Linked DNA regions of Styela clava. The protein of the gene in region 1 binds, or shares a complex with, the protein of each later gene. Links are inferred from orthologs where the notes say so. Each region holds a gene or a part of one and is shown in the gene's direction. Other genes may lie near its edges.

Evidence for each region. The genes of interacting proteins can lie anywhere in the genome.
Region 2: U4/U6 small nuclear ribonucleoprotein Prp3-like (region 1) and U6 snRNA-associated Sm-like protein LSm3 share a complex: the UniProt entries of both Homo sapiens proteins name them as parts of the precatalytic spliceosome. The link is inferred for Styela clava from reciprocal best matches to the Homo sapiens genes PRPF3 and LSM3.

Annotation. Positions count from the first base shown.
Region 1 is NC_135262.1:3,870,699-3,880,997, forward strand, and holds the start of U4/U6 small nuclear ribonucleoprotein Prp3-like, read left to right. Parts: upstream 1-5,199; 5' UTR 5,200-5,546; coding exon 5,547-5,697; intron 5,698-6,511; coding exon 6,512-6,615; intron 6,616-6,992; coding exon 6,993-7,112; intron 7,113-8,304; coding exon 8,305-8,409; intron 8,410-9,619; coding exon 9,620-9,737; intron 9,738-9,934; coding exon 9,935-9,998; intron 9,999-10,299. UniProt on the Homo sapiens protein: Plays a role in pre-mRNA splicing as component of the U4/U6-U5 tri-snRNP complex that is involved in spliceosome assembly, and as component of the precatalytic spliceosome (spliceosome B complex).
Region 2 is NC_135261.1:10,467,412-10,477,905, forward strand, and holds U6 snRNA-associated Sm-like protein LSm3, read left to right. Parts: upstream 1-7,066; 5' UTR 7,067-7,207; coding exon 7,208-7,228; intron 7,229-8,135; coding exon 8,136-8,429; 3' UTR 8,430-8,803; downstream 8,804-10,494. Other genes in the region: dmX-like protein 1, read right to left, coding at 265-391, 981-1,179, 1,723-1,874, 3,686-3,894, 4,403-4,462, 4,994-5,104, 5,559-5,640, 5,718-5,792 and 2 more; prohibitin 1-like, read right to left, coding at 9,428-9,567. UniProt on the Homo sapiens protein: Plays a role in pre-mRNA splicing as component of the U4/U6-U5 tri-snRNP complex that is involved in spliceosome assembly, and as component of the precatalytic spliceosome (spliceosome B complex).

The DNA of each region.
Region 1 (10,299 bases):
TAACTATATACTACTAGGTTTCAACAAGTAATTTGCAACTGATAGTGACTAATGAAGTTACTAGCTCATCTGGCATTGTATGAATGGCTACTTATGGCTTGTTTTGTTACACATTTCACATTTTTTTTAACATGTTTGTTTGAACTTTGTATGAATTATGCAATGAATTAAATTTTGAAATACGCGCGTCAACTGATCATAATGGCGCATAATGTTGTATTCCTTCAGAACTGAAATATTTTGTTGGTAAGAAGACAAATCGCTGAAATTTGATTCTTTTCAATAAAAAAATAAAAACGCTATCATTCATCTAAAAAACGTCTGTTTTCGGTGCCTAGTTTTCGTTTTGTGACATTATTAAGCTTTCCTAATATACGGCTGATATCTAAAATACTGCAGTGTGTAATCCTAATACCCATACGTATACATAAGATACCGATATAATTCAAATGTTACGAAATAAACGTCCTTAAACGGTGATAATGATGTAACAATAGACGGTATCTAAAACTCAAAATGTACCACATGAAGGGTTAAACTATTTCACTCAAGTTCGGCGGGCCATTTTAAATCGTCACGCGAGCCGTAATTGGCCCGCAGACTGCGGTTTGGAACCACTCATCTACACTGATGAATATGCCATAGGCGTTATATTTGAATACAATTATACTAGAGTTAGGAATTACAGTGTGGAATCTCACCTCAAAATTAGGGGGGGTGTTTGAAATTTTAGGGGGGGTGTTCACCCCCTATAGGGGGGGTGTAGGGAAATCACTGTGGCGGTCACCGGAACGTAGTGTGTGTACCAGGTTGAAGTTATTAGGCCATAATTTTATTCTAATTTTCCTTATTACTTATCGATTTTAATCGGTAAGTATGTTGATAGGTATTAGTCTGTCTGTATGTATGTCTGTTAGATGCACGCGATATCTCACGAAAGCGAGATTGAATCTGCTCCAGATTTTGCATGTGCATTCATCTTATCTCGGACCAGTAGCCTATTGATTTTGGGCGAATTAGGTCGTATAATTAGCAGGTTATCAATCAATTATTGATATAGTGATCTAGATTTTTGTAAAGCGAGAGAATTTTGAGACCCGCCGAGTGTGTGTGTGTGCGATGCGCAGTGCGCAAGTTACAAGAGCGGATGAATCGAAACTGCAGTTTCCGTTTTGGGGGATCCCCTAACTATCGATCGATAAGTCTTCGGTTTCCAACCGATATTCTCGTTTTAAATCTTTCACGAGATCAGGGACTAGCCAAGTGACTCCCTTATTATTCGTACCTGAAATTTGTGCCTAACCCTAACCTGGTACACATACTACTTTCCGGCGTCCACCATCTTGGTGCACATACACCTGGCTGTACAAATATGTAGTGCCGAATTTCGTCACTGTATTTACATACGCCAAATCTCCAACTGAGTGGAGAAATAAAAATACAATTGCCACTAAAATGGTTCACTTGGTGCCAAATAACAAGAACACGTACATGGGGTCTGTCTTCTTTCAGATCGATGTTATTGTCAGATTAAACCATATTGTAATATTTTCTTCTGAACTATCGTGATGAAGTATTTAGTTCAACTTAAATTATTATAGATCCGTCAAATATGTCAGGCCAAATCCTATGATTTCCAGTATTCAAATATATAGTGATCTTTTCCTTCGAGAATGTAATCTCAACGACAAAAGAGTAGTACATGAAAATGGCTTTTCGGGGTCGAGGTTTCACCTCATCTCCCATATCGAAACAGCAAGATTAATACTGTGGACGACAAGTTTGCATTAGAGATGTACCGATACCACTTTTGTCGCCGATACCAATGAAAAAAGCCGACGCCGATATTCGAAAACGGCCGATATTACGATACCGATATTATGTAATTAGTACCTCAAGTGTGCAGGGCAGACGGTTTAAAACAATACTCTTTGGGCATTATTAATAGTGCACATTATTTCGGTTCAAAAAAGGGAAATATCACACACACACATATATATATATTAAGAAGTATATGTTTGGGATCCAAATGCTTTGATTGATTCAGATGCATTAAGCACTGGCGCTAGTATTCTCGGTGTTCAATTAGAAAACCAATAGAATTTGGCTACTGTTGGTGTTGAAATAAATAAATGTTTGAGCCTACTTATCGTATGAAACTGATACATCGAGTCATGGCGCATGATTTTGTGCCAATATAACGTCGTATTTTCTATTTCACACATGTCGATTGATATATTTCTTCATAATTATCATGCAAGATTAAAAATTTTAATATAAAAATTTGGCAGCGAAACAGCCGGTTTGGCTGATAGATGGCTAAAACAGATCAGAATACGATTTCCGTTTCTACATTTTCACATTATCTATACTGCTTTGGAATTTTCAGTGTTTTAAAATTGTATTTTTCGTCAGAAGGCTATTACTTTTATTTATTTCAACAATTTCTGTGGACCCTATTTGATTCGTTTTTTTTTGTGTACGATTACGATATCAAAAATTGCACACCTTGCGAAGGTTACGTTTGCGTTAGTCGTGAAGTTTGCGGTAATCTCCTGACTCTCTCGATTTCATTTATTTTTGCAAAATTGTTTTGTGAACTCAGCAAACACGCTGCGCTGGCACGATGAGTCTGGTAGTCTTTCGCAGCCACGCGTCAATTGCGAAAATATTGTATGGGTCTTTATTTCAATTGAACTTTTTGTTACCACTTTTTTATTACTTATGTCGATACAATATTCCATGTAAGACTAAAATAAAATATTTGAATCCGGTACGTTTTGAACTCGGTGTTTATATATTTGAGCATCGCTTTTTTGTTAATACGACGCTTATGTGAAAACGTCTTTCGCTCTGGACAGGGCCTTGTACAAGCAACCATGAGGTCTAACGTGCTGCTAATATTTGGATCGTACAGAATCTTTCCAATTCGAAATCGCCATTTTATTACACCTTGCGTGAGGGGCAAACCCTAGATGTGTAATATGTTATTGTAATACATTTAAAATTTATGCGTTTTAACTGCCAAGCCATCGAGCCACCAAGAAGGGCTTCGTAATCTCCCAAGGGAGGGGGAGCCAATAAAACGGCTTGATAAAAGCACCACGATATATTGTTCTCTTATAGTTTGGTTGAGAATTGCTAGCTTATTGTTATACAGTCATGGTTGACGGAGAAAGTCGTGACAGACTCCAAGTTACGTCGTGATCATTTTATGTAGTAGGTAAGGAGCTAGTATCGGCTCTGTTTATATCAGCTTATTCATATTAGTCTTATGACGAGTAAAGTGAAAATCTGGGGTTTAATCCTGTTGCAAGCGTGGGCGTCTGGGCGCCGGCGTTTGTCATTGGCTACAGCACTCTTGTAAGCCACAGTTCTATCCTCACTTGTGCCTCTGTCTTCAATTCTTTTTTTTGTAGTTCCTCTTAATGGATAAACTCCAAATGAACACAATTTGCTTAGTGTTCAGAGCAACCATTTTGTAAACCCAGCGACATGAGCTAACGCTTCATTGGTGGATTCCTACTTGCGTTTTATTCAAATAATGCAAATAATAATCTTTTTCATTTCCGATCTTCACATTATTTTGATGATTATGCCGGCCACCATATTAACCATCGCGCCTCTGACTACCCTGCGTGGGTTTGCTGATTCTAAACCCCTGGGTGATAATTATGTGCCAGAGGATTGCTGGAATCCTTGTCGCCGTTGGGTGGTTTCCGTGACCACTGCTCGGTTACGACTCCCTCTATCAACAAGTCCATGCATTTGAAAGAAATAATTGGCTATCTAATCCCATACCAGACATGTAATTGAGATTGTGATCTCGATAATAGCGATCTTTAATAGCGAAGCTTTGATTATTTACATGATATTATCAACAAATGAAACAAACCAAGGAATACGTTTAAACTTAAATTAACCAATTACCGTGCCGTATTATCGCTGTAATAACCATAGCATGCGTGTCGCCAAAACGATAAAATGCAAAATTACTGTACAGCGAGTGTGAGTTCGATTCCCTATAATGACGCACATTCAGATATCATTGGACATGATTCCATGATAATTGCGATTATCAGCTTTGTCAAGACCGATTTGTGGCAGAAGTCCTGAGACTATTTAATATTCCGTAGCTTTGTACATTGGTGTATCGGCCGCCATACCTCAGTGGTTGGAGCACTGGTCTCGTGGACCAGGGGTCGTGAGTTCGGTCCTCACTGGTGGCTTCCATCTATCTTCTCGTTTTCTGCAAAGCAATTTCTAAATTTACTTTGAATGTTACCCATTAGCCACAGCAATGAACTTCCAGTTCTAAATACATTGGCTCGATATCAACGACGGAAAAGAGAGAAATTCTTGAAAAATAAGGGTAAGGGTACGATAGATAATGACTCCCCGTCTTACACCAGTATCCAGCCAGGGATGTATTTTTAAAATGCTTTTCTTTGATTTTCGATCAGGATGCGGCCTCGTATTTTTGTCGCGTTGTACGTTGGCTGCCATAGCTCAGTGTTTAGAGCACTGGTCTTGTAAACCAGAGGTCGTGAGTTCTATCCTCACTGGCGGCTTTATAATCCCTATTTATTCTATACTAACACAATTCAACTCCTGTGTTTACTCTTCAATATGAGTACTGCTGTGAGCAATTTACACAGCTAAATAACATATAGATAGGCCAGAATAGGTCGATGCAACGCACTCGAGTGAGTGAAAAGTTAGCTCTACATATTAATTAAGATAGTACAATTGACATATGTCATGGAATAAATTCCTTTATGAAGTGTATACATACACCTCAATGTAATATAATGGTTTATGTTCAGTTGTCTTTGACTCCGACCACCATCGGTAAAACGTATGCGAGACGTTTTTTTTAATACAAAATGCATCATGCCAGATTGCAGTGCATCAAACTGAGACATATGTATATTTTAGCATTGAATCTGTCATAATTCAAGTTCACTATTTACTAATAATTATATCGTCATAAGTATATACAATATACTTTTAATATTATACTTATATTAGAACAGAAATTATTTCTGAGATTTCTTATTTCCATGGAGAAATCTGGCATCTGTTATGCACTTTTACCGAGTGCGGTTTAATAATTCACCACTGTGAAGTTAGCATTATTATTAGACTATTGCTGTAGATTTTTAGATTATTCGGCATTTTGGTGTCATGAATTAATTTTAGCGGTTCATGTTTACTGAGATTCCACTTATTAATAATACTTAACTTTATATTTGATAGGGTTTTATTACAAAACAGATTGCCTGTTTCTACCATCACCTCATGTTTCAGAGAATTTGTAAAATCCTATCCTTTTGTCCTTGATCAAATAAAATGGCTGTAACATCGTGTACGTTATTCACCCTTTCGAATCTACCTCCAATTGAAATACATAGCATATTTTCAGACAGTAGCCTAGGATAACTTTAACAATTTTCTGAATCTAGATAGGCTAGTTCTGTAGTTTACATTTTAAAAGCAAAAGTTATCACTGTTCCAGGATTTTGTTTTTCAGTTCTAAATCAACTATGAAAATGGCGTTATCAAGAAAAGAAGCTGATGAATTGAAGCCTCAAATCAGTGGAATTGTTGAAAAAGTACTTGGTTTCTCCGACAATTCTGTTGTCGTGGCAGCAATCCAATGTCTACAGAAGGACATGGACAAAGGAAGAATAATTGGTTTGTATTTATTGTTGCTTTACCACAATGATAAATCGTAAACAGGATTTCTAAAGCCCTCCATTTGAAATGCAAAAATCTTTGTTGCATCTCCTGAACAATTTCTGGAAGTTGTTGTTTCTATTTCCTCTTTCAGTCTTTATTCTGTTATTTGTGTATCAATTTTTATTTATTAGAGTTCTCGGGGCTTAACCACCTGAATATCTATTACTCTAAGATTTTCATTGGCGGAATAAATATGAAATCGACTCATGCTGATCGTTATCATAAGAATGTTGGTGTCTTATCGATTGGTTTTTCGACTCGGCTCCTAGTTGTGTTCATCTTACTTCTACAAGGACTCTTTGTCGTTCTCAAACATCATTTTATTCAGACATCTCTTTATGGTATACCTATAAACATGGTTCATGGTTATACTTATGGTTCAATAGCAAATATTGTGAAATTGAAGATTGAAATTATTTATTTATCCGGTAGATCATTATTGGATAGAGATGCATCCAGTGCTATCATTTTTGCTTATTAATATCTCCAGTGACAGAGCAGTTATGTTGGTATTGAGAACAAATTTTACCTATTTGATGTGAATCATCTCGTAAATCTATAATTTGAAATTAAAAGTGTTGAAAAGAAACATATCACCTAATGTCATGCAATGAAGCGCATCTCTCATTGACAGTAAGGAATGGCTAGGATTTTATATTAGAGTTACATATCTGACATTTGTTATTGCGTTTTTGAGACTTCACGTTTTTCAAGTTTTAAAATATAGCTTCTTATTGAACCTCTTATTTATTCACAACATTTCATTCAGAACATCTGCAACCTCTGATGGATAAATCAGCAAAAAAGTTTGTTGAGGAGTTGTATACAACAGTTGAACTTTCTAAAACGAAAAAGAAAAGCAGAAAAAGAAAGGTCAGTTTTTCTTTGTTTTTTCTTCGGAACCATTTTTTATGAGCAGGCTCTGAACAAGGTTCTAGACATGTTGCCAGATTGATTGGCATATAATAAATACAGGTTAGGTGGAAACGATTAGAATTTGAAATCTCAAAATGCGAAGTGAATTATTTGAATGCAGACTTAAAATATCTGGTTTACCAGAAATTCGTTGTCTTGGCGATTAAGATTTGATTTTCATGTAGGTTTTTGTGTGGGAACAGTTTTTTGTGGCTCTCAAACAAGTCGAATATTTATATTGCAATTGCCCCATTTTGAAATAATTTCACACTTGTCGTCAAGTAACTTACCTGTCAACAAAGCAATTCTTATTCTTTCTAATCATATTGTTTTAGGAGGATGAAGTTGAAACAGCAGGGACCAAGAAAGTTCGTCGTTTTGTTGAACCTGATATTCCTGTTGCTCTTCCTGCTGAACCCATCGCTGAGAGTCCTGGAATGCTCACCACTCAACAGGTGAAGACGAGATTTTGTCGTTTCCATTCACTTACTATCTTTCAATTAACCTATACGAACCTGCCGAAATCCTATGTTATTCTGCAAGCTTCCATTGAACCCCATCAATTTTACCAGTAAGAGTTGATAAGGCTATAAAAATGCAACAATCTTCAATTTAATTCGTTATTATGTAGCATAGGTTGAGTTTTTAGGACATACACTCTAACAATGATATGACTCATCAACACCCTGAATGCAGCGCTCATTTAATCAATGTTAGGCAATCCACTGTTCGGATACGACCGCCAGCCAAATTCATTCAGCTTGAGACGTATCAACTAGCTTTCACAAGAATAGGGCTAGTCGCTTTTTATACAGTTCTAACTAAACCGCAGTGTTGCCACTATTCAAAGAATATGCGTATCGCCAAATAATCTTCAGCGGAATAAAACTACGGTATATGTAACTAATTATTTCCTCACTTAAAGCTCCAGATAAGTAGCTGCTTATACCTGGACAATAACTAATTTTACTAATCAGCATGTCTAATATATTTGTGTGTCATGTCGTGGGCCTTGGGCTTAATATGCTTAACTTCTGATATTCATCTATTGCATTTAACTACTCGACCTTATCGTCTCATATTTAGTTATTTTAAATACATTTTATATCAAAAATATCATAGTTCCACAGTGTGACCAGAAAAGCCTCCATTTAATATATGGAGTCTATATCGGTAATATGGAAGAGAAGACCACTCAAATTGATGTTTTTCTGAATTACTCATATGCTATTCCAAATTCAAAGTCATTGGATAAATATATAAAACACTTAAAGTCCCTAAAATCACGAATTAACTAACGTATTTTACGCAGCACACTAGGTCATGATGCGCACCGTCAATAAATTGCTCAGATTGGGTTTTTATTCATACATAAGGCGGAACCGTACTGGTTTTGAGCGCAGGCACATTACCTGGTCTATTACATTAGGCGCGTCGCGTTGGCTCGGAAGCCGCACAATCAATTTTCAGAAAAAAGTATTTGAAACGCTGCCTTCCGTAAAATACTGTATATAGAATATAACTATCTTTAGATATATTTGAATACTGTTTTCATTTTCTACATACCTGTGCTAGGTATGCCTAACTATCAGTGTATAATTTTTTTGCGTTACTGCTAACTATCATTATCCTCTTTCCAACATACAGATCAAAAACATGATGGAACACGCCAGAAAACAAATTGAACAAAGGAAGGAACAATTGAAAATGATGGATCCAGCTGATATCAGAGCTCAGGCTGAAGCAGCTAAGGTATCGGATCACGTATATATTGGGGAATAAAAATGTTGCCTCGTTGGTTAGCGACCTATTTGTCGTCATGTTAATTGGTTCAATTTGCTTCAAATTCTGAAGATCAATCATTTATATTTGCTTCTCTGCCACAAACCATGATGACACCTAACACAATTTTTAAAGTAAGTCAACTTGGTTCAGAGAAAGCAAGGAGGAAGAGCATAGCCTGAAATACGGTTGAAAACTAACATGTTTTATGTGTCTGAGAATTGCTATACCAGGGGAGGGCAAGGTTTTTGAACCAGGGGCCAACAATTTTGCCCACCTAGACTGGCGGGCCATGTAATTATGACGTTGAAAGTTACATTTTAAGAATAAATTTACAGTGTTACAAAAGCAAATTTGAAAAATAAGCCTCATGCCAAAACTAAAATTGCAATAAATTTTTTCGAGCTATTTGACAGCTAAAACATCAAAATTTGGTTTTAGTTCGATTGTGGCAGCATCAGACAAGCAGATTGAATTGCCTAACTGAATTACCCACGGGACGTAGTTTGCCCATGTCAGTGCTAGACTATACAACATCACCTTTTCTCGGTTCCCATTAGTTTGTTGTGTGGTCGAGCTCCCTCATCCTCTTTCTTTTTTCATGTAGAATTTAACACAGTCATTGTCATGCTGAGCATTATTAACATGTTCTCATTGTACTGCAATTATTTAATTTGCATGGCTTCAAATTCTCTGTGCGGCAGCGGTTCCCAGAGATTTTGTTCGTGCAGTGCCAAATTATCAGAGAAAAAACTCACGGCGTGAAAACGATAAAAATTTTGGTGATAATTAACGTGTACTCCACGTATTCAAAGTCTGTAAACATGTAGGCGTAAGGAATAAAGGCAAAATGTCAACTCTTCTTCCTCATCTTTGCCTGATTTTTCTTTGAAATGCTAAACAAATCACCAAGGTTGTGATGAGAACTTCGTGGACACCCTGTATGTTAAGGATATTGTCTTATGCATCGTGCTGTGCTGGTGCAACAATTTTTGAGTGAAGTCATTCCTTTACCAAATATATCAAAATTTTTTAGGAAACTATTGAAACATACCGTAAATGAAACCCAGAACCTCAGATCATAGCACTCGAAAATACTACATTGGGTCGCGTTGTGCTTTCATTTCTATATTAATCATCACATCTATATTAATTATCATTTTTTGTGAAAATTTTGCAGATTTCCAATGGCAGTGAACAGCAGGCTCTAATAGAAAGTTCAATGACAAAAGCTGAAAAGGCTGCAGAATTGCAGAGAAAAATACAAGAAAAATTAGCTGCTAGGCCTGGACTCTTAAGTAAGTGTTGCAAGGGTTTGTCCAACATACAGGTTAATATTGCTAGTGGTACAGATATATCTCAGGTTACTCATGGTTTTATTTTCCTCTATTTCAGTGGAACATTTGGTCCAACTTTTGTCAACAGAAGAGGACTCAGTGTGTAACATTACCCTGAATCTATGTCAATTATTAACTGATTTTCTGTTTAAACTTAGGTGCACCACCTTCGACCCCCGAAGCAATGACATCACTGATTGCTAAAATCACAGGCAAAGTTGGGTATGATGAAATTTTTATTCCCCTGAAATTTATTACAAACCTTAGCTGCGAGAAAGCTTGCAGTTTCCAAGTGTCATTTTTTTGGATGCCCCTTACCCTTGTGAAAAACATCAATTTTCTCTAAAGTGTTGCCAACTCAAATTACCTTGTATTTTTATTGTTTTTTTACTCCACTCCTCCTGTATCATGACGGCTTGAATACAGCGAAATCCGGCGGGTTTGGAGCCTCGACCTTTACCACCTTGCCGTTGACCCACATATGATAGTATCATCCTAACTGTAGATTTTCTAGGTATTCAAT
Region 2 (10,494 bases), on another chromosome or scaffold:
ATAATATTTAATTATAATTAATTTGTAATTGATTTAAATCATTTTAGACATTCTTTATACCATTTTACTCATACCTTTGCACTAACAAGTGTTTGTGAAATGATGCAATAATGCACAAAGTATATAATTATTTATTATTATCAGTTACTGAATATTAATAGCAGCTATACCTCAATTGAAAATACTTCATCATCACACACATTAAATCATTCTAGTGAGTATCGGTAACTATATGATTAGATGTAATTAATATTTTTGAAGTACCTGATGTTGGGTTTATGGTTGCAGCAATATGAAAATGCCGAAATAATCTCTTGATTGGTTGTTTAGGAATTTGAAAATCAGGCATCTTTCCTTCGTTGTTGTGACTCATCATTGGAGCACTGACAGACTAAAAAAAATGTAAAAATTAAGAATTAATTTTTCCGAATTACCAGAACCGGAACCAAAAGTATTGAACTAATTTCAGCGAGGGAGGATTTTTATGGTCCCCCAGTTTACAAGAATAATGTGTGTATCGTGCAACACAAAAAATATTCTAAATCAGGAAACCAACTTAACAATGTTGCTATCGAAGTCTAATTAGAAACATGATAATGTACTGTAATTGGTTGTTGACTACCTTATAACAGTTGAGTAAAAAAGTAAGCAAGGCATGCATTAAAAAAATATGGTCATCCTCGCTGTGTGTGTTTGTTTTCAGTTTCGAATGCCATTGTATCATCAGGGTAATTCTGTGCAATAAGTTTTCTGGCCCCTCGCCGTCCCAGAGTTGTCATGTCATCGTTGGTCAGTTACAACTGGCAAGTCCATAGATCTTTAGCAATTCTTATACCCATCCTGAACTGATGATTGGACAATAGTCTTTTGTATATAATATAATCAAATAAGCTTATCAATTTACCTCTACACCAGGTTAGATATGGCACTAAAATCCTCAAATCTCAGAAAATTTATCACATGAAACCTTTTCTACCAACCTTTTTGACAGGAACGGTTCCTGGTGTTCCTTTATCCTGATTCAGATGATGTCTTTTCTTTCCAATTTGATGCTTAGGTTGAGTTGTTGCATGAGCCGCAGCAAGTTTGGTAACATCAGTTTCTCGAGTCAGAGTTTCACACCAAATTCTGCACATGTTATCTCGACATGAGCTTATCAGAACGTTGGGAACAGAACCGCTATAATATAAAATAATAAAATAGCATTAAAACTACAAGTTACTTTTTATGTATCATCCACATAAAGTTGTAACCTTCTCAATTAGACTGCAGACAAGAATACAGCCAGACACACAAAACTAGTTTGATATTTGATATACCGGCACATCCTGTCCCAGTGCATCTTATATACTGTAATTTCTCACAACTTTTTTTGAGCAAAATAACTGAATCAAATCAAAAGACATGCTAACATAAAAATATTTCTGCACCTCCCAAATTGAGCTATTTCAATATTTATGACTATGAGTAAGTGCCTCTTACGCATGGACGGAAAACCTATATCAGACACCTAGTACTGGAAATAAATTTAATTAATTACTGCAAACTGTATTTTAATTTTTGCCATAATCACAATGTTTCTAAAATTGATCCCCAAAAAATGAATCAATTTGAAATATATCCATAATGCAAAAGTATTCAGTTTCCTCCATCCCTTTCGACAGGTGATACTATATACCAGATACCAGACCTGAATGATCACAAAAATATTAAGCATCATACTTTGGTAATAATGGAACTCCTTTTCTCCATGAAAATCCAGCAACAGGTTTAGGATGAACCAAATAAGTGAACGTAAAATCCAATTTAGTTGTTGTAGGTAGAGAAGTATGGTATTGCTCATGAAGATCCATATGACTTGTGCTTGACATTGTCTGAAAATAAGCATATGTGTTGAATCGTTTTTAATTTTTGGGTGTTTGACTTTTATTTTTCAAGACCTTGTATAAATATAATGGTCAAAATTACAATTTTTCTGAATATATGTCCCTTTTTAGGCAGAATTTTCATTTATATCAATTCATGCAATTTTAATATCAGGAGGTATCAAGACTCGGAAAGTCTTTGTCCGCTGGTTTCACAAACAGGATCAGAAAGTAACGTTTTTCATGTCACTCACTCCAAACAAGGCCCCATAGAAGCATCCACTGATATCTAACGCTATTTCAGGAGCTATTATAACCTGTTTCAGACGCCCAATCGAGCCCAATTTTGAATACATTTTTATTAATGTCATACGACCCCCAAAATTTACCCAATATACAATAATTATATACCATTGGAAAGGTATTTTAGAGTACTATACGCTAGATGTCACTGGAGGACCGTAAACTAAAACACCTCTTTCAAGAGGTCTCTCGTAACGTCAAAAAATAACAAAAATATTTACACTCTCTCATTCTATCAGCTGATAGACGTCTACAGCTATTGTAAAGCTGAAATGTGACTATACAGTTGACTGCACATTGGTTTTCTCTTTCATATGATACTAAACGCTTTTCCATAGCGCGCGTTGTTGAAGCGTTTTGGAAATTTTCCGTTTGAGAAGTCACCACATCGAATCAGGCCAGGCTAAGCTTGATAGATCGATCGGTTGTTTGTTTGTGCTTTATCGCGTTGAAAGCTTTTGTGAGTCATAATAAAACATTTATTATGAATCATAAAAGCTTATAATCGTCAGACAAGGAGAATTTGCGAGATAAAACGCCTAACTTTTTTTCGGTGAGGCAGCTGCGATCAAACGACTCGATATTTTTATAACTTCCTGACGTTGTGAGATGTCCACTCTTCTATGTTATGTAGCATATAAAATGACCTTCAAAATAAGACCTTATCATACTAGCTTTTGTTATTGGTTAGCGCGCAACGCCAAGGTTTATGGAATCATTTTCTTGTTGTGCGACGTTTTTATATCGCAGCGGGAAGTACACGCGTGATATGTAAGCGAAATTTTATCACTTCTAAATGTCATATAAGGTTCATTCTCATATCGTTGTGTGGGGAATAAGATTTCCTTTCAAGCAAGACCATAACAAACATTCCAGACCTCATGGTATACACACAGCATTGCAAAACGTCGCGCATGCGTCAAACCGGGAGGATTAGGATAATTGGAAGGAGACCACAAAACTGATTTTTAAACTGAAGTCCAAGCTTATTTGTACAAATAGTTTTTGGACTAAGTATTTAGGAGTCAAACAAATAGATAAAATGTCCAAAGCAATTTAAATAATACCACTACACTGCTTCACATATTAAAATCCGGAAAAGTGAAAACTACAGTAAGCCTTACAGAAGTTATATAATAATTTTATCAACATATCTCGCATTTAACATAGCATAGTATTTTCCATATTTATCCATATAACAAAGATACCTTTTAATAACATATATCAGGGGTCGAGGCTCTATCCATTTACCAGTCCACATTGGTGTGAAATAACTAACCAGTTGAAAATCACAAACTGTGGAGTGAGGCTTGCAACAGTAATGAGTACAGCAATCCCCTTGAATAATGTAACTACATAGTAACGAGTAGGCTACATCATTTCCCTTGAACACACATAATTCCAATATCCGAGCACACACATGGGAATCAACATTGAAAGGAGAAGGACACAAAAAATGATAAATTGAAAACAAGAGAATTGAGAATATAAAACACAAAGTCAGAAAATTCCCTTACATTTTGAATATTCCCATCCTGAGTGTGTTTTTTGCCAGGACTGGAGGCATCTTTGAACAGGTGCATTGGCAGGGCATTTCGTTGATGCCATACTTTAATCATGGAGTCACCACAAGAAATAGAAGCAAACAAAGTATCATCAGGTGCATATTGAACATCATGCGGATTTTCTTCTATTCCGCTGCTCCAAGCCAACTCCCATTTTACTTCTGAAAAATGTTACGGATTTCAAATGTGAATATAATGTTGGCATAGAAAATTCATTGACAAGTGGGAACCATGTATCAACGATTTTTGAATGAAAAAAAGGCTGCAAATCCGTTTTATAAAGTATTACATATTTTCACTCCAAAGACAGGTCATTCCAGCAACTACTCAGAACGCTACTGGGTTGCAGAAAAGAGAACACTTTTTGGTATTCCCGAAGTATGTGAACCAAGATGGCAGACACCTAAATGTAGTATGTGTACCAGGTTAGGGATAGGCCATAATTTAATTCCAATTTTCCTTATTTTAGTGTTATCACGAGTTCGGGGACTAGCCAAGTGGCTCCTGCAGTCTTTGTACTTGAAATTATCGCCTGACCCTAACCATCTTGATTCACATGCTTCGGGAGCACCCATTTTTTTGCTTTCTTATAGCCTACACAATTTCACACATCCAAGTTTAACAGAAATTAAAAAAATTTCTGTTTTTGAAATATAACCATCAGTCTACCTTGAGGTACAGCTTCTTCTTCTGCTGTAAAATTGTCTTCTGTCTCATCTTCTTCCTCAACTAAAATATTGCAAAACAAAATTGAATAAAACATAAGTAATATTTAGAGTGAATAAGCCAAACGAATACGAGAAAGTCAAAATATGAAACTCCATAACTAGAATGATAGATTTCATTGATATCACAAGAGGGAAAAAATGATTATGATAACTGTGATAAAACTAAATTGGTTCTGTGCTGGTTATTTCAATGTCCCAGCATGTACTATCCCTCACAAGCAAACAGCCTGACTTAACTTAAGAGCTGTGAATTCTGAGACCTAGAGGTAAAGACGCAGGCTGGATATTTCATAAATCATATTTCGTAAACGATATTGCAGTTTGCAAAATTTTAGACGTCAGAGGTCAAAAAAAATTTAAACCCATAGGAGACAGGAGTTGAAATTTTGTAAAACTATGCTACACTGGAGTAGGGAAATAGAATCTAAAATACTCTTAATTCGTAGTTGTGAGTTCCGATGGAAAATACATCTGAATTGTCCTTTCAGATTTAGATTAATATTTGTTTGTTAGAAATACAAATAAATCTCACTTTCTTCAATAGAAAATTGCACTTTTAAAGTGTGACTCTTTGGTTCTTTTGCAGATTCTTTTTTGATCTCATACAGTAGTATCTCATTGCATCCAACAAGAAGTCTTTCACCTTCAAAATAATATTTGACAAGATATCATTAATAGTAAAACAAGCAGAGAAAATATGCGACAATAAGACAAATAAATTTATTTTGCGTCTACTCTAAATATACCGAAAAATGTCTTATATTTGTTGAATGAAAAATTAGAACATCTACATCTCAAAACTGATTTACTTACGACCAATTTCAAATTTAAATAAGTTGGTTAATCACACCAAATAAATGTAGAGTAACATACTTGCGTGCTACTTCGGATGCTATCTCAGCGGTTCTGTGATTTCAGACACATTAGTTAGCGTTCGGAACTGAATCCTATGAGAATGTCTTCATTAGATTAAACAATTGAGATCATGTTAAGCAAGTGAGATCGCATACCAAAGTGGCACCCAAAATTTTTATGCAATAATAAATAATTAATATTAAAACATAAATATATATATATTAATAAAGTCAATGCCATACCAGTAGATGCCCAGGACAAAACAGTTGCCCGTCCCACACTTTCTTTCAATGTTAATGTTGTTTCTTCAATCCATGTAAAAACCTGAAAAATGTATATTTTAATAAAAATGGTTTCAGTTTGTATCATTGCCTGTGAAGTTATGCGAGACAAATACTCACCGGTACATCGTCATTTTCGTTTCGCAAAAGTTTTGGATGATATATAACAATGTCTCGTCCATATGAAACAGCAATCTAGAAAACAATATGGTGGTAAATGATACAATAAAAGTATTCCTGCAAGTTGCAATTTCAAATATTGATCTATTCAAAATAATCATAGTGAATGCTTTGTAGTTCGTAACACACTTGTAAACAATAATTCTGTGACATAAATAGCAGAAAATGCTATTCAATTTCATTCTAAGCTTTTAAAATTCAGAAAGTATTTGTACAAATATTCTAATTTAAACTAAATTGGCCTTCAACACAAACTGTTTATGGAGTGGCCATTCATTGAACATACCTTCAGAAAATTAAAGTTCTAAAAATGTTCAACTAAAATTTATAAGATTTTGATAAGACAATTTCACCTAACCTCCCCAAATAAGTCTTTGTACAGAAAGCTACTTATTAGTGGCATGCTGCATAGGTTCAATAAAAATAACCTATGTAAACCATGGCACTTTTACAATGAAGTAGAGGACATAAATTGAGATTGAACAAAACGAGGCTTGATCTCATGATCTCTAACATAAAGTGACAGACTGACAGTATACTCAGTCCTCTACTTAGGATATCATACCCACAAAATTAAAATATAGTTTGCCAAATACTGAAATAGATATAAATATAGCCTACCTTTCCAACAAATTGACAGCAATCCAGACAAGTAATAAGTTTGTACCCTTTTACATGACCAGGTATAATGTGAATGGGTTGAAGATCTACTCCCAATATTACCAGATCACATCCTGATCCATATGCCTGAATACAAAATAATTTCGGCTATAAGAACTTAATCTACAAACGACTGCAAATGGTTGTGTATATTATCTTGCTACCTTACCCAAAACGTGAAACTTGCAATGCTGCCTACACTGAAACAGTGATTTCCTGGGTTAACAGCTCCAGTTAAAACTTGATGTCGCCGCATCCCGGTACATTAAATTGTTTCAATTAAACGACAAATTCCATACAATACAACAAAGTCGCAAATTACAAAGACCAAGATACTCTATCTACAGACCTAAGGAACCAGTCAGCGAAAGACATAAACAAAGTCGATTGATTGACGTTTGGTCGATCAAGATTTCACAACAAAAAATCAATTTTTATCTGGGTTAATATATTTGATTACTAATGGCTTATATGTATATTTTTTAAGTACAAATATGAAAATATAGGTTATTATTTTTACTTTCAAAACAGTATTCCGTGAATTATGGTTTTGTAGAAAAGGGGAAATATAAAAAAGTTATCGGTCATGGGTCACTAGTTCTATTGGTATCCCCGCCTATGCCACGCCTCCAACACATTTCGATATGGAACGCGGGGATCAGGTAATTTAGCGCAAAAGAGCTAAGAAGCCTTGGGAATTTATTTGTCAAGCCTATTCGAAAAATTGTCACTTACCTAGAAAACTTGTGCTAGAGTTAAATCGCGGCAAAATGGCAGATGATGAGCAGCCGGTAAGAAATTTAATATTTGGTAATGAAACTTCAGGATAGATTTTTATTTCATGAAAAAGCTCTCTCCATGCAGCAATGATATGAGTTTCCTGTTCAATTTAGCACTCCTTACAAAATTATTCATACGGTGTGGCGAATATCTTTTTATTACTTTGTCTAGTTTTCATTTTTGTTTATCTTAGGTTCCTAGTTTGTTTTTCAATTATTACGGTACTGCATTATGTCTTTTCGGTTGTAGGCCTATTAATTTAATTCACACACATAAATAGGATTCACATATTTATCTCCCGGGGAGAGGTAAGTCGCTAAGACAGCTTAACAATATGGCGAACCAGGGCCTCTCGTCCGGTTTCCATGTCGGGTATAGGATTAGTTGTTTGTTTTCGGTAGCACGGACTTGATGGTGGAGGGAACCATAACTGACCAGCGGTTACGTGAACCACTCTATGACGGCGAGCAATCCTCTCGCACATAACTATCCCTGCATGGGTTTCGAACTTGCGAACCCACGCAGAGTAATCAAAGATGCGGTGGCAAGCATATTCCTAACGCTTAGCACGATGAGCCACACCGCCGCACCCCTACTCTTATGTAAATGATTCTGTAAATTTCAAACCTTATCTAAGGTTTTGTTTGCTCTCCTGATTCTGTAGTCGAAACAGACTTATACTTACAGTACGACACAGTTCTCAGATTCAAAGGATAGCCCCTACATCAAAAGATATCATTTATTACAGTGAGTGCAAACCCCTCTTTTAAGAGACAGTCTGGGCCTCTACATTGGCAAACCATTGCAGTCGTGCCAGATGCCCTCGTTTCAGAGACATCTTGGAATTAGAGAACTGTGCCCTACTGACTTACGACTGAAAAATGCTCAAATAACTTACATATAATCTTACTTTTACAGCCACCGCCAGTCACACAGACAGTAGAAGAGCCTCTTGATCTGATTCGATTGAGTTTGGACGAAAGGGTTTATGTAAAAATGCGAAACGAACGAGAACTTCGTGGTCGACTACATGCATACGACCAACATCTTAACATGGTTCTCGGAGAAGTAGAAGAAACCGTGACCGCAGTTGAAATTGATGAAGAGACTTATGAAGAAATTTATAAACAAACTAAAAGAAACATTCCAATGTTGTTTGTGCGAGGTGATGGAGTAATTTTGGTGTCGCCACCTCTTCGAGGAATGGCATGACACTGAAGTTTTTAACCATTGCACAAATATTTTACAACTAACTGAATGCTGTTCAGCATAGTCAGGAATATGTTGCATGAGCAGCATCCTTTAAAACAGGGAAATACATTAAAACCCTGGCAGTTATGCTGAAATTTAATAGGGGAGACAAAATTGAAAGATATACTCAGTTTCTTTTAAAAAGACAGTACAATTTCCTAATAAAATTGGTGAATGGTGTTGACTTTCGTACCACAAACTTTGCTCGAATCATACTTTTATTGTTAATCAGTGCTTTTCTTCCACCACCTATGCTTAAATCCATGATTTTGGAAATCCATTGTCATTGATATCACGACTTTCTTTTCCTTCAATAATATCTGACTAAAAAGGCATACTACGATCATTGAGTATGTATGATTGCGTACATTTAGAAAATATGCCTATTTAGAGGATCCTGGGATCAGAACTGCAATTAATAAAAGGGATTTGCTTTATTGGAATATTGACAACAGAACAAATTTGCGACCCACTGGTTGAAGAACTCCAAGTGTCTCCAGACTCCCACACCTTTACTGAATGGCCAATATTAACTTCTCCAGGCTGAATCATGGTGCTAAACACGAACAAATTTTTGCATGAAGTTTATCGAATGCACAGAATCCTGTCCTGCTTCGCTAGTATATAAACCTAATCAGCAGTATTACAGAAATAAACCAGAATTCCCCTTGACCACACTTTTTTGCTATTCCAAACAGTCATAAACACGGTTTATAATCAAAACTGTATTTTAATGGTCCGAATGAGAGCAAAGTGATCAAGGCTGTTTTGTTGTTTACTTCATGTTTCCAGGAACACTTATCAATCACTATATTGTAAAGGACGAGATACCAGAAAGCGCAGAGACCACAAGAACAGTTATCACTCGCATTCAACTTGAAAAGCACAAATTAATTGCTAGTCTTAATTTACAATTGTTCCACCACATGATGTGATATATAGTCACTGGTCAACCATGATTACTGTTGAGCAGGAAGCGCCAGTAGTACTTGTTGATTTGATGGAAGGTATGAAACGTTCTTTGAATGTGAAATTACTTGGGCGATTTCCTCTGCTGCCTCCAGCTTACGAAGTTCAATCAGACCTTCACCAGCTTCCGCTGTTAATACAAAGTTAAATTTGAGACATTTTTAACATATAAGGTTACTGATAGTAAAATGGTCATCCTGCCTCTTAACAAAATTAGAAAAACATGGTCTTTGAGGTCGTACTGATGACTAGACAAACCATTACATAAAGTCATACTAGACCACCGTTGATGGGCGACAGAAGTGGGCTACAAAAGAATAAAGGTAAACTGCCGATATATACATCCGCATTAGTCGGGCTGTGTGCTTCAACGACTCTCGCCTCTTCCTAACTGTTTTCCCAATCTTTCTCTGCTTTCATTTTGTATTAAAAAGGTGTCTCTCCTAATACCCAGTGACATATGATTAGCCTTTTCATGCATGATGATGATTGAAAAGTTATTATCCGGAGTAACATTTAAAATCACGTTTTGAGAGAGTACACAAAGAGAAAAAGGCAATTTTTTTATTGAAAGAAGCGCTAGTTCTATAAATAGAATCGATTTGGAGATGTTGAGTTAGTAATCACAGAAACATGGTACAGGTAATTAAGACTAAATTGATTGGGGTCCTTTTAATAGCAATACCTTCTTTCAATGGGACTTGTTTTATTCATCTATTACCATGAAAAATAATTGCACTTATGCATTTCAATGGCTGTTGTACAATAACAATACGGTTATCATATAATAATGTCATCAAACTGGTTCCAAATTTGTGACCTCCCTGAATGCAATTTTGAATTTCTTGGTTGCCATCATTTTAGTGAGAGTTATACAAAAATAAATGAATCCATTTTAATCAACTGAATGAGATATTGAGAGTCTGTGCAATTTTTAACTCTCAGCATTCAACAGTTTTCAAAACACTAATTATATTTCGACCAGTTCACCTAACCATGGGATCTCCCTTTATAACTCTGGAAACATGGTTATGCAAAATATCAGCCGTATAATAAA